2 linked regions of the Yarrowia lipolytica genome follow. The protein of the gene in region 2 binds, or shares a complex with, the protein of the main gene of each other region. Links are inferred from orthologs where the notes say so. Each region holds a gene or a part of one and is shown on either strand. Other genes may lie near its edges.

Evidence for each region. The genes of interacting proteins can lie anywhere in the genome.
Region 1: YALI1_C29148g (region 2) and YALI1_E13823g share a complex: the UniProt entries of both Saccharomyces cerevisiae proteins name them as parts of the mitochondrial large ribosomal subunit. The link is inferred for Yarrowia lipolytica from reciprocal best matches to the Saccharomyces cerevisiae genes MRPL32 and MRPL51.

Annotation. Positions count from the first base shown.
Region 1 is NC_090774.1:1,380,351-1,384,214, forward strand, and holds YALI1_E13823g (mitochondrial 54S ribosomal protein mL43), read left to right. Parts: upstream 1-1,947; coding exon 1,948-2,072; intron 2,073-2,262; coding exon 2,263-2,560; downstream 2,561-3,864. Other genes in the region: YALI1_E13808g (uncharacterized protein), read right to left, coding at 1-452; YALI1_E13818g (uncharacterized protein), read right to left, coding at 886-1,500; YALI1_E13848g (uncharacterized protein), read right to left, coding at 3,192-3,864. UniProt on the Saccharomyces cerevisiae protein: Component of the mitochondrial ribosome (mitoribosome), a dedicated translation machinery responsible for the synthesis of mitochondrial genome-encoded proteins, including at least some of the essential transmembrane subunits of the mitochondrial respiratory chain.
Region 2 is NC_090772.1:2,912,217-2,917,206, reverse strand, and holds YALI1_C29148g (mitochondrial 54S ribosomal protein bL32m), read right to left. Parts: upstream 2,384-4,990; coding exon 1,823-2,383; downstream 1-1,822. Other genes in the region: YALI1_C29158g (uncharacterized protein), read right to left, coding at 1-1,350; YALI1_C29141g (uncharacterized protein), read left to right, coding at 3,096-4,208. UniProt on the Saccharomyces cerevisiae protein: Component of the mitochondrial ribosome (mitoribosome), a dedicated translation machinery responsible for the synthesis of mitochondrial genome-encoded proteins, including at least some of the essential transmembrane subunits of the mitochondrial respiratory chain.

The DNA of each region.
Region 1 (3,864 bases), on a different chromosome or scaffold from region 2:
ACAATACGTACGTGTTTGACAGGCCCAAACTTGATGTAATGTTCCTCCAGGTCGTTTTCAGTCACGTCGAACGCCAGACGCGCCACAAATAGCGTCTTGAACGGATCGCCCACAATCTTGTCGTCCTTCTTGGGATCCCATGCCTCTTTTCGTTCCTGCTGGGTCACCTTTTGGCGCTCACTTTTTAGCCGCTTCTCTCGCTGCTGTTTGACCAGCCACGACTCGGTCGGCACGTATTCCGAATCGGGCTGCTTCAACAGCTCCATATACGCCGAAACGCCTGAGATTTTCTGCGTTCTTCGGTCCTCAGGAGCATAGTCGATCGGCTCCAGGTACCGTGGCTCGGGACACTCGGGGAAGAGCCGCTGGATGTGAGGGGGTAGCCGTTCCAATTCAGCCTGGGTTAGCCTTGTTGTTGATTGCAGAGCAAATGTCGCGCAGATACTCACCATGATTATGGATGCTGTTAGTGTGTGTAGTGATGTTGATGGTCGTGATGTTGGTTTGAAATATTAGTGTTGTGCATCAGAAGTTTATCTGACATCGTGAGTAGGGTGAAGTGAGATGGGATTGAAGAGAGTTATACAAGAAAGGTAGAGAAGAAGTAAATACAAGGGGAAAGCGAACAGAATATCGTCGCTAGTTTGTTTTTCTAGGTTTTTTTTTGGATATATTCTTCTGAAGAAGACTTTTCAAGACGTGATCGAGTTTTTCAGACCTACAGTGTGCCCCAGGAAGAATCAGCGAGCTACAAGGCTGTTTGCAATAACAAGTACACTGTACTTGTACTATACTGACCATCCGCTCATACTACCGTCTCCACCCTCCCCTTGATACACAAATAAATACTTTACTATATACATTGCTGCTCTTTTGTCCTTCTAATCACAGGTCAGGAGGAAAGAGAGCAGCAGCAACAAGACCGGGACGCTCGGTGGCCAGAAGATCAAAGTTCTTGGCTCCGTTGGCACTGTCAGAGATCTCGACGGAGATTCCCAGAGAGTTGAGATAGTTTCGGGTCTTGGGCGACAGCACTCGCGACTTCTTTCCCAGGCCGAAGATGAGCAGCTCAGGACGAGGGTAGACAACCTCAAAGACACCCAGTGCAGCAGGATCGATTTCAACCAGACCGGTATCGAGACCCTTGACGCACTCGGGAGTAAGGTTCCAGGCCAGCACCTCAGAAAGGCCCATCAGAATGGCTCCAACGGGCTTCTTTCCGCTGGGAGACTTGCTCTTGAGCACCTTGTCGTCCTTGAACACAAAGCCGTTGGAAAGCACGGCCTCCACGTTGTTGTGGGCCGTCTCAAGATCGCCGTAGAGATCGTATTCGGCCAGAGCTCCTCCAGGACGAGCAGCCGTGTTTTCGAGCTTTCGCTTGGTTCGCTCCATGGGTCCCTCGCCCTTGAACCACGGGTTTTCGAGCTTGACGTTTTTCGCACACACCCGAGAGGTGTGGATCGAGCGGGACAAGATTCCGACGGCTCGTGTTCGCAGCATTGTTTTTGTCGTGAGAGCGAGTGAGTTGTGGTGTTCAAGACGACTTCAGCTTGGTCTTGATTCGCTCTGCATTGGAACCTTGTTGATGACTTCAGTGGCGGTAGTCGAAAGAGGCGGGAGAAGGCTAAGTAAACGTTTGACAATTAGCTAACTAATAAATGCCCCAACATTAGTAACTGTATTTGGCTTAGTTGAACTCTGAAGGGCAGATCAATACCCCCTCAAGCTCTTCTAATATTGGTAATTATTGTATGGAAGAATCCACACTGTCTCTATTGTTGTTTTTCTTCCATTTAAAATGCTCTCCTTCATATTAATTGTCTCTCATTACCAAGAATTACTCCTCCCCCCCTTCGGGCCTCCACAGTTACCCTACCTTTGCAAAATTACAGGAGCCTAAACGCAACGCACAGATCAATCTGAAATATCTACATTCAACACACAAAAATGTCGGCTCGACCAGCTTACCAGACTGTTGCCCGAAACCTCAACGGTGTCGGCAACTTTGTGCTTCAGTGCAAGAAGGTCACTTTCCGGTACTGCAACTGGGGTGGCTCTTCCGACGGAATGAGGTGAGTATCACAACGGGGAACTGAACTGTGACTTGGACACGGACATAGATGGAGGTACAGACATGCCAGTGGCACAAGTGGGGTGCTAGATGAAGAGCAGAATGCTACCCAGTGCGTGTGGTGTGACGTGTCATCTTTGTTTGGTCTTTGAATTCAGACATCCACCGCGTCTCAGATCACACTAACACAGACAATACCTGGACAAGAACCTGCAGAAGATTGCTGCTCAGAACCCCGAGATCGAGTTTGTGGCTGTCAAGGACATTGGCCACCCCTTCATCCGAGGCGAGTTTGTCAACGGTGCCGAGAAGACCATCTGCTGCAAGAACAAGCATCCCCGATTCATCAACGGCAAGTTTGAGATGCTCAAGAGCTCCGACGGAGCTCCCCGAAAGCAGATGAAGAGCCCCGTTGAAAGTATAAACGAGAGTGTCCGAGGTATCTGGTCTCCTTACCATACCGACCCCAAGGCACGACACAAGATTTAAATGTACATAGTAAATTATAGCATAGCGAAAGATGGTGAAAGAGCGAAGGACAATGGCCGATACGAATCGCCATAGTAGAGGTATGGAGCGAATGGTGGTGTGCAAGTGGCTTTTATACCATAACGGTTGTGACACAGTAGAAGCTCGTTTGTTGAATTGTGCGGCACTCCGACGATCTCTAACTACGATATATCGTGGAGCGCAAGTGAGAAGTACTTGTACGAGGCAAACAAGCGGTTGTACTACAAGTGTTCGTACGAGTACAGTACTCATAAGTACAGAACTTGTACCAACTTGTATGAAGTCACTCAATTACTATAGGGATGAACAGAAACACAACTACTGGAAGCAAAAGGGAGTGAAAGGAAACAGAACAGAAAACAGAAACAGAAACAGAAACAGAAACAGAAACAGAAACAGAAACAGGAAACAGAAACAGAAGCAACCTGAATGTTGTCAAAAGGATACTTGTAGTAGATTCAGCAAGGTGCAAGGTAACATCAACCTCGGCTACAGTAAACTTGGGAACTTGATTGAAGCTGTGTACATCACACAGTCTGGAATAACTTATTTCTATGCGTGCCTTTCCTCCGTCTATTTTACATGCCCAAAGTGGCTGCTCTCTTGTATCTTATGCTTTGTGTTGGGGGTCGAGCTGGTCTATGTCAGCCTCTCTATCATGACAGAAGGGATGCTCGAGTGCCTGTTCTGGGGTCATTCGCTTTTCGGGGTTGAGTGCAAAGAGCTTGTCTAATAGATCGATCAGATGGCCCTGTAGGATGATATCTGATCCGGTCTCTCTGCATTTGCCCAGCAGCTTTTTGACAGGCAGAGGAGCCTGGTTTTGTGTGTATCGTAGTGTATGTGTGATCATTCGTCCAGTATGGGGGTCCACTTCGTCGGACTTGAAGTCGAGGTTCTCGTCAAAGTACTTTTCCGTCAGCTTGCCTTTTTTAAGCTGCTTGTGGCTAAACTTGCCTCGCACGTCCATGATACACTTGATCATGTGGTTGTTGGACGAGCCTGCAAACAGAATACATCCGGTGTACAGCTCGTAGAGAGTGCATCCAGCGGACCACATGTCGACTCCGTAGTCAAAGGGCGCGCCCAGAATGAGCTCGGGGGCCCGGTAGAACCGCGATGCAAGGTACGGCATGGGTTCCGTCCACGCCTTTTGGTCCTTGTTGGCCTCCACGGCCGAACCAAAGTCACACAGGCGAGTGGACGACCGTTTGGCGTTGACCAGCACATTATCTGGCTTGAAGTCGCCATGCAAGATTTGGCATTCACGCAGAATTTGCAGA
Region 2 (4,990 bases):
CTCATCTGCAGCAGAAAGCGTGTATTGGTACTGGACGCTTCTGTTTGTAGCTGTGGCAGGGATTTTTGCCTTGTTCTTCTCGGTCAGCGAAAGCATAAACTCGGAAAAGATAAGAATCTGGGTCCAGATAGCTCGTCGGAAGTTGGTGTCGGACAACTGCAGTGTGAATAAGTCCGGATTAGTCAACCACTTGGCATTCAATGTTCGAGACGAATGATTGTTAGCAGAATGCCCTCGCGAGTTTCCAAAGTCACGTGAACCTCCACTTCCCCCTCCCGCAGCTGATGTGTTTCCGCCTCGGTTTCCTCCTTCTCGAGAGTCCCGTTTCGCCCATCTTGTTCCTCCTCCTTGGGCAATCTCCGTAGATCCATCATGACTTCTCAGAGTCTTGACAGTCGCTTTTAGACACGTTTGAAGCTTGTTCATCTCAACTTCTGGCTCCTTGGAATTGAGCAAAATTGTAGGATCGGCAAAATACTTTTGTAAACCCCAAAACAGTGCATATGGCGAGTCAGACGGCTCCTGTGTATGTTCCTTGGAGGTGGCAGGAGTAGCAGTTTTCTCCTTCACCTTTTCCTTCATTTCATCCACGCCCATATCGACATCCTTGTCTTCATTTTCATTTTCATCTTCATCGTCATCGTCATTGTCATCTTCATCGTCATCTTCATCTTCATCTTCATCAACCTCCTTGTGCTCCTTGGCTCCCTCGTATCCTTCAAACACAGTGATGTTCTCCACATTGAACTCGCCCTTCTGATTCAAGCCAGATCGCTCACTCAGCGGGAAAGCACGTGACAGAAAAATAAGAATCTCGCCGGCAAAAACGGCATCACGTGACTTACTCACTCGTCGCAGCAGAGCATTGGCCAGTCGAATCAGGGTGGTGCCTGGTGCCTTGCGGCCACTAAGCCGTGTCACCGAGTTCGATGACGCCTGGTTTCGTGACACGTTCATCAGCTGTTCCTCACGTGATACCAGGTAGTGGGTCCAAAAGTGGCGGCACCAGTCGACTGTGTGAATGTCGAAAATGTCTTCGACCAGAGCAAGTGTCAAAGTTGATTCTAGAAGCGGCTTCTCGTCGGATGAAGTTGTTTGAGACTCATAGGTGATGCAGTCGAGTAGAGCAGCTAGAGATCGTCCTCTCTTGTCCTCTGGTTGTAGCATGATCTTCTCAAACATAACTTGTCGGAAGATGTTATCAAGGTTGTCGGTGGGGTTGGCGTCCATGTATTTTTCGCACCATTGTCGGAATCCGCTTTTTTCGATCGTTTTTGACTCTAGACGGGTGTAATCGGTCTTGTAGTGGCCACTGACCTTATCCAGGATCGTCACCAGCTTTTTTTCCATCGTGTTGTGGTTGCGTGTGTGTATGCAGGTTCTGATCAGGTTGGTGATGTTCTCTGGTGGTTGAACTTTGTTGTGGAGCGGTTTTAATATGGGAGTGATACGTGAAAAAAAAAAAAAAAAAAAAAAAAAAAGAAGAGAAAAGAACACGAGCAAACAAAAGCTGTTCAGATGAATGAGGTGTGTTTTTATTGTCGTATCTTTGCTATTATGATCCACAGATATTTTCGTACTGATAACTACACTACCCGCTGGGAAAAAGAGCTGAGTAATGGGACAGAGAGCAGTACGAGTAAAGTACAGTATCTACAGTAGGGTGGTTGTGTTTGCGGTACATTGTTTGTCACAGACGTCCCCAGGTTAACTCCTTCAATGTCATCCAGTGATCACACACTCTCAAATTGTCCCCTACACCCTCTCCCCCACACCCTCAATTATCGAGTTCATCGTTTAACTATATACATATGGGTTTTCATTAGTCTCTCGACTTGTCCTTCTTCTTGTACACCTGAGACCGGGGATACTTGAGCACATAGGAGGCGGTATCCTTGAGCTTGTCGTAATGAGGTCGGTCAATCTTGTTCTTGTAGATAAAGGCCTCGTCGTGAGCAGGCAGAGTGGGAGGCTGCTTCTTGTCCACCAGCGACTCAGCGTCTCGAGTCTTCTTGGCAAAGAAGGATCGCAGCTCGTAGAAGCAGTGCATACACAGAGTGTGCATTCGCTTGACATGTCCACAGGCAGGACATCGGTTGAGGTTAGTCAAGGGCTTGAGGGCCTTTGTGTCAGCGAGGAATCGCTTTCGTTTTTGGCCGTACGACACCTTCTTTTTGGGCACGGCGTACACAATGCCGTGGTCGCAGTCCTCATGCTTATGCTGTTCCAGATCCACCTCTCGGCTGGGGGTCTCCAGATCCAGATCATGCTGGGCTCCTCCGAAAAGACCTCCCAGAAGACCGGGGGCAAGAGTGACGCTCACGGCCACGGGAATCTGGGCGCTGAGAGCAGCCACAAACGGCTTGGTCAGTTGTAGAGCCATTTTGGATCGTGTGTGTTGTGTGATGATCTCAGACTCGAGGTGGTGAATATGGTTGGGAGGATTTTTCAGAGTCACGTGATGGGAACACTGTGGTTACTGGGTTAGGGTTTAAATTTGGAGGACGAAGAGAATGGAGAATATATGTCGATGAGCCGATTCTCGTGATATATAACGCTTGTTTGTTGTCGTTGAGAAGTAGATGATCTCAAGAATCTATTGGTCATCAGTAAGAGACCATAATAAAATAAAAATAGTCGCTCAACCGCAAGTTCGCGTCTGAAAGGCCTCCAGGGACACAAAAACAAGATCAAAAAAGGTGAGATCCCTATATAAACCCCATTTTTATCACCTGGGGACTTTAGGTCGTTCATTACACTTATTTCTGGTTGTATTACTGTGTCTTGTCTTGAGATTAGCTACGACCTCGTCAGTCGCAACAAACAAGACTGATTCTCGCCAATTGCTTAATAATATAAATTGAAATCATTCCTAATCTCATAAACATCACGTGATCGAGTCATTGATCAAATATTATCCTCAGCCCCCTCCAAATCACCCATGTCTGGCACATTTGGCTAATCTCACACATTCCCTCCCGTTACCCGGCCTCCAACTTGAAAATTAAAGTTCAGGGGAAACGCGACACGCATTACATACACCCTATTGTACGTATCACCAACACACATCTGTACCACCACACAACCACTCATAAATGATGTCCACCGAAACCATCACGCCCGGCAGCAAGGTCGGGTTCGACTCCATCACCCAGCAGATTGAGCGACGGCTTCTGAAGCGAGGGTTCCAGTTCAACCTGATGGTTGTGGGCCAGTCTGGTCTCGGAAAGACCACGCTCATCAACACTCTGTTTGCGTCGCAGTTGGCATCTTCTTCTGGACGAACTGAGGCCGGCGAACCCATCACTAAGACCCCCGACATCAAGTGCGTCAGTCATGTGGTTGAGGAGAACGGCGTGCGTCTCAAGCTCAACATCATCGATACCCCTGGTTACGGTGACCAGGTCAACAACGAAAAGTGCTGGGACCCCATCACCAAGTACATCAAGGACCAGCACAGCCAGTACCTTCGAAAGGAGCTGACTGCGCAGCGAGAGAAGCATCTTCCCGACACCCGGGTGCATTGTGTGCTCTTCTTCATCCAGCCCACCGGCCACGGTCTCAAGCCCATCGACATAGTCGTGCTCAAAAAGCTGACTGAGATTGCCAACGTGGTGCCCGTCATCGCCAAGAGCGACTCGCTAACCCTGGCCGAACGACAGGCCTTCAAGGAGACCGTGCAGATGGAATTTGCCCACCACAGACTCAAGCTGTACCCTCTGGACTCGGCCGACTACGACGAGGACGAACAGTATCAAAACGCACAGATCAAGCAGTTTATCCCCTTTGCTGTGGTTGGCTCCGACAAGAACGTTGTTGTGAAGGGCAAGACTGTGCGAGGACGAAAGACCCGGTGGGGTGTTGTTAACGTGGAGGACGAGACTCACTGCGAGTTCCCCTACCTGCGAAACTTCCTCATTTGCTCCCATCTGCAGGATCTCATTGAGACTACCGCCCATGTGCACTACGAGGCGTTCCGATCCAAGCAGCTTCTTGCTCTGAAGGAGAACACCAGCAGTGGTCAGAGTGCTGGCATTTCGCCCGCTGGTGTCCCCAAGCCTCAGCCCCAGCCCCAGCCCCATTCCCAGCATCCCTTTGCTTCCACCGCCGGTGTGCCTGGCAGTGCAGGATCCGCAGGTCCTAACACCAATGGTATCCAGCAGCCCGTTGGGGCTCCCCCAGTGCCCAGTGGCTACTACAAGCGGTAGGACGAATCATGATGTGTGGTAATGTAATATTTTAGGTAGCTTGTTTGCTAATAGTGAATTTATTTGGTGTTATGGAGAGGCCGTTAAGTAGGTGGCGGAAGAGGGTGGATATGCAACATTGAATACGAGGATGGCGAGGGTTACTGGATCGATTGACAGGTGGATCGACATTCTAGACACGATACACGCGTGACTGGAGGAGATATGGTGTATTAGTGATGACAGTTCTCATCCGTACAAGTACCGGTACATGAGTCACTGGGCATTGGAACATCTGTACCCAGTGCAGTACAGTATGTAGACAAATCTTCCACTGATTGGGTAAGATGGGTAGGTTACTCATGAATCGAACTTGCAACGATGGTTCAAGCTCAATCGACGTCCATATTGGTAGCATGGTCCATTGCGTGATCTTTTATGTCTTGGATCTCGACCAGGAAGTTACTGCAAGTACGGTGCGAGTCCCGTCTAAACGGTGAACCGGCGCATAACACCAGCACATATTGAGACATGTTTTGAGGTGAGTGGTAGATATTTCGGTCTTGTTTGAACCAGCTTGGAATCCCTAGTATATTGATTCCGTTGTTGGTTTCGGCTATCATATAAATATTGTGACTATGATGCTCTTGTTCAGTCCGTCAGTCAAGAGGTTAGGCACCAGTCAATCAGAAGGGGTGTGTTGTATGGTAGTTGCATATCCGATGTAGCACACAGCAGATGTCAGGTTTGAGGGACATGTTGGACATGCCACATTGGCCACATCATTCCACCTTTCCAGAAGG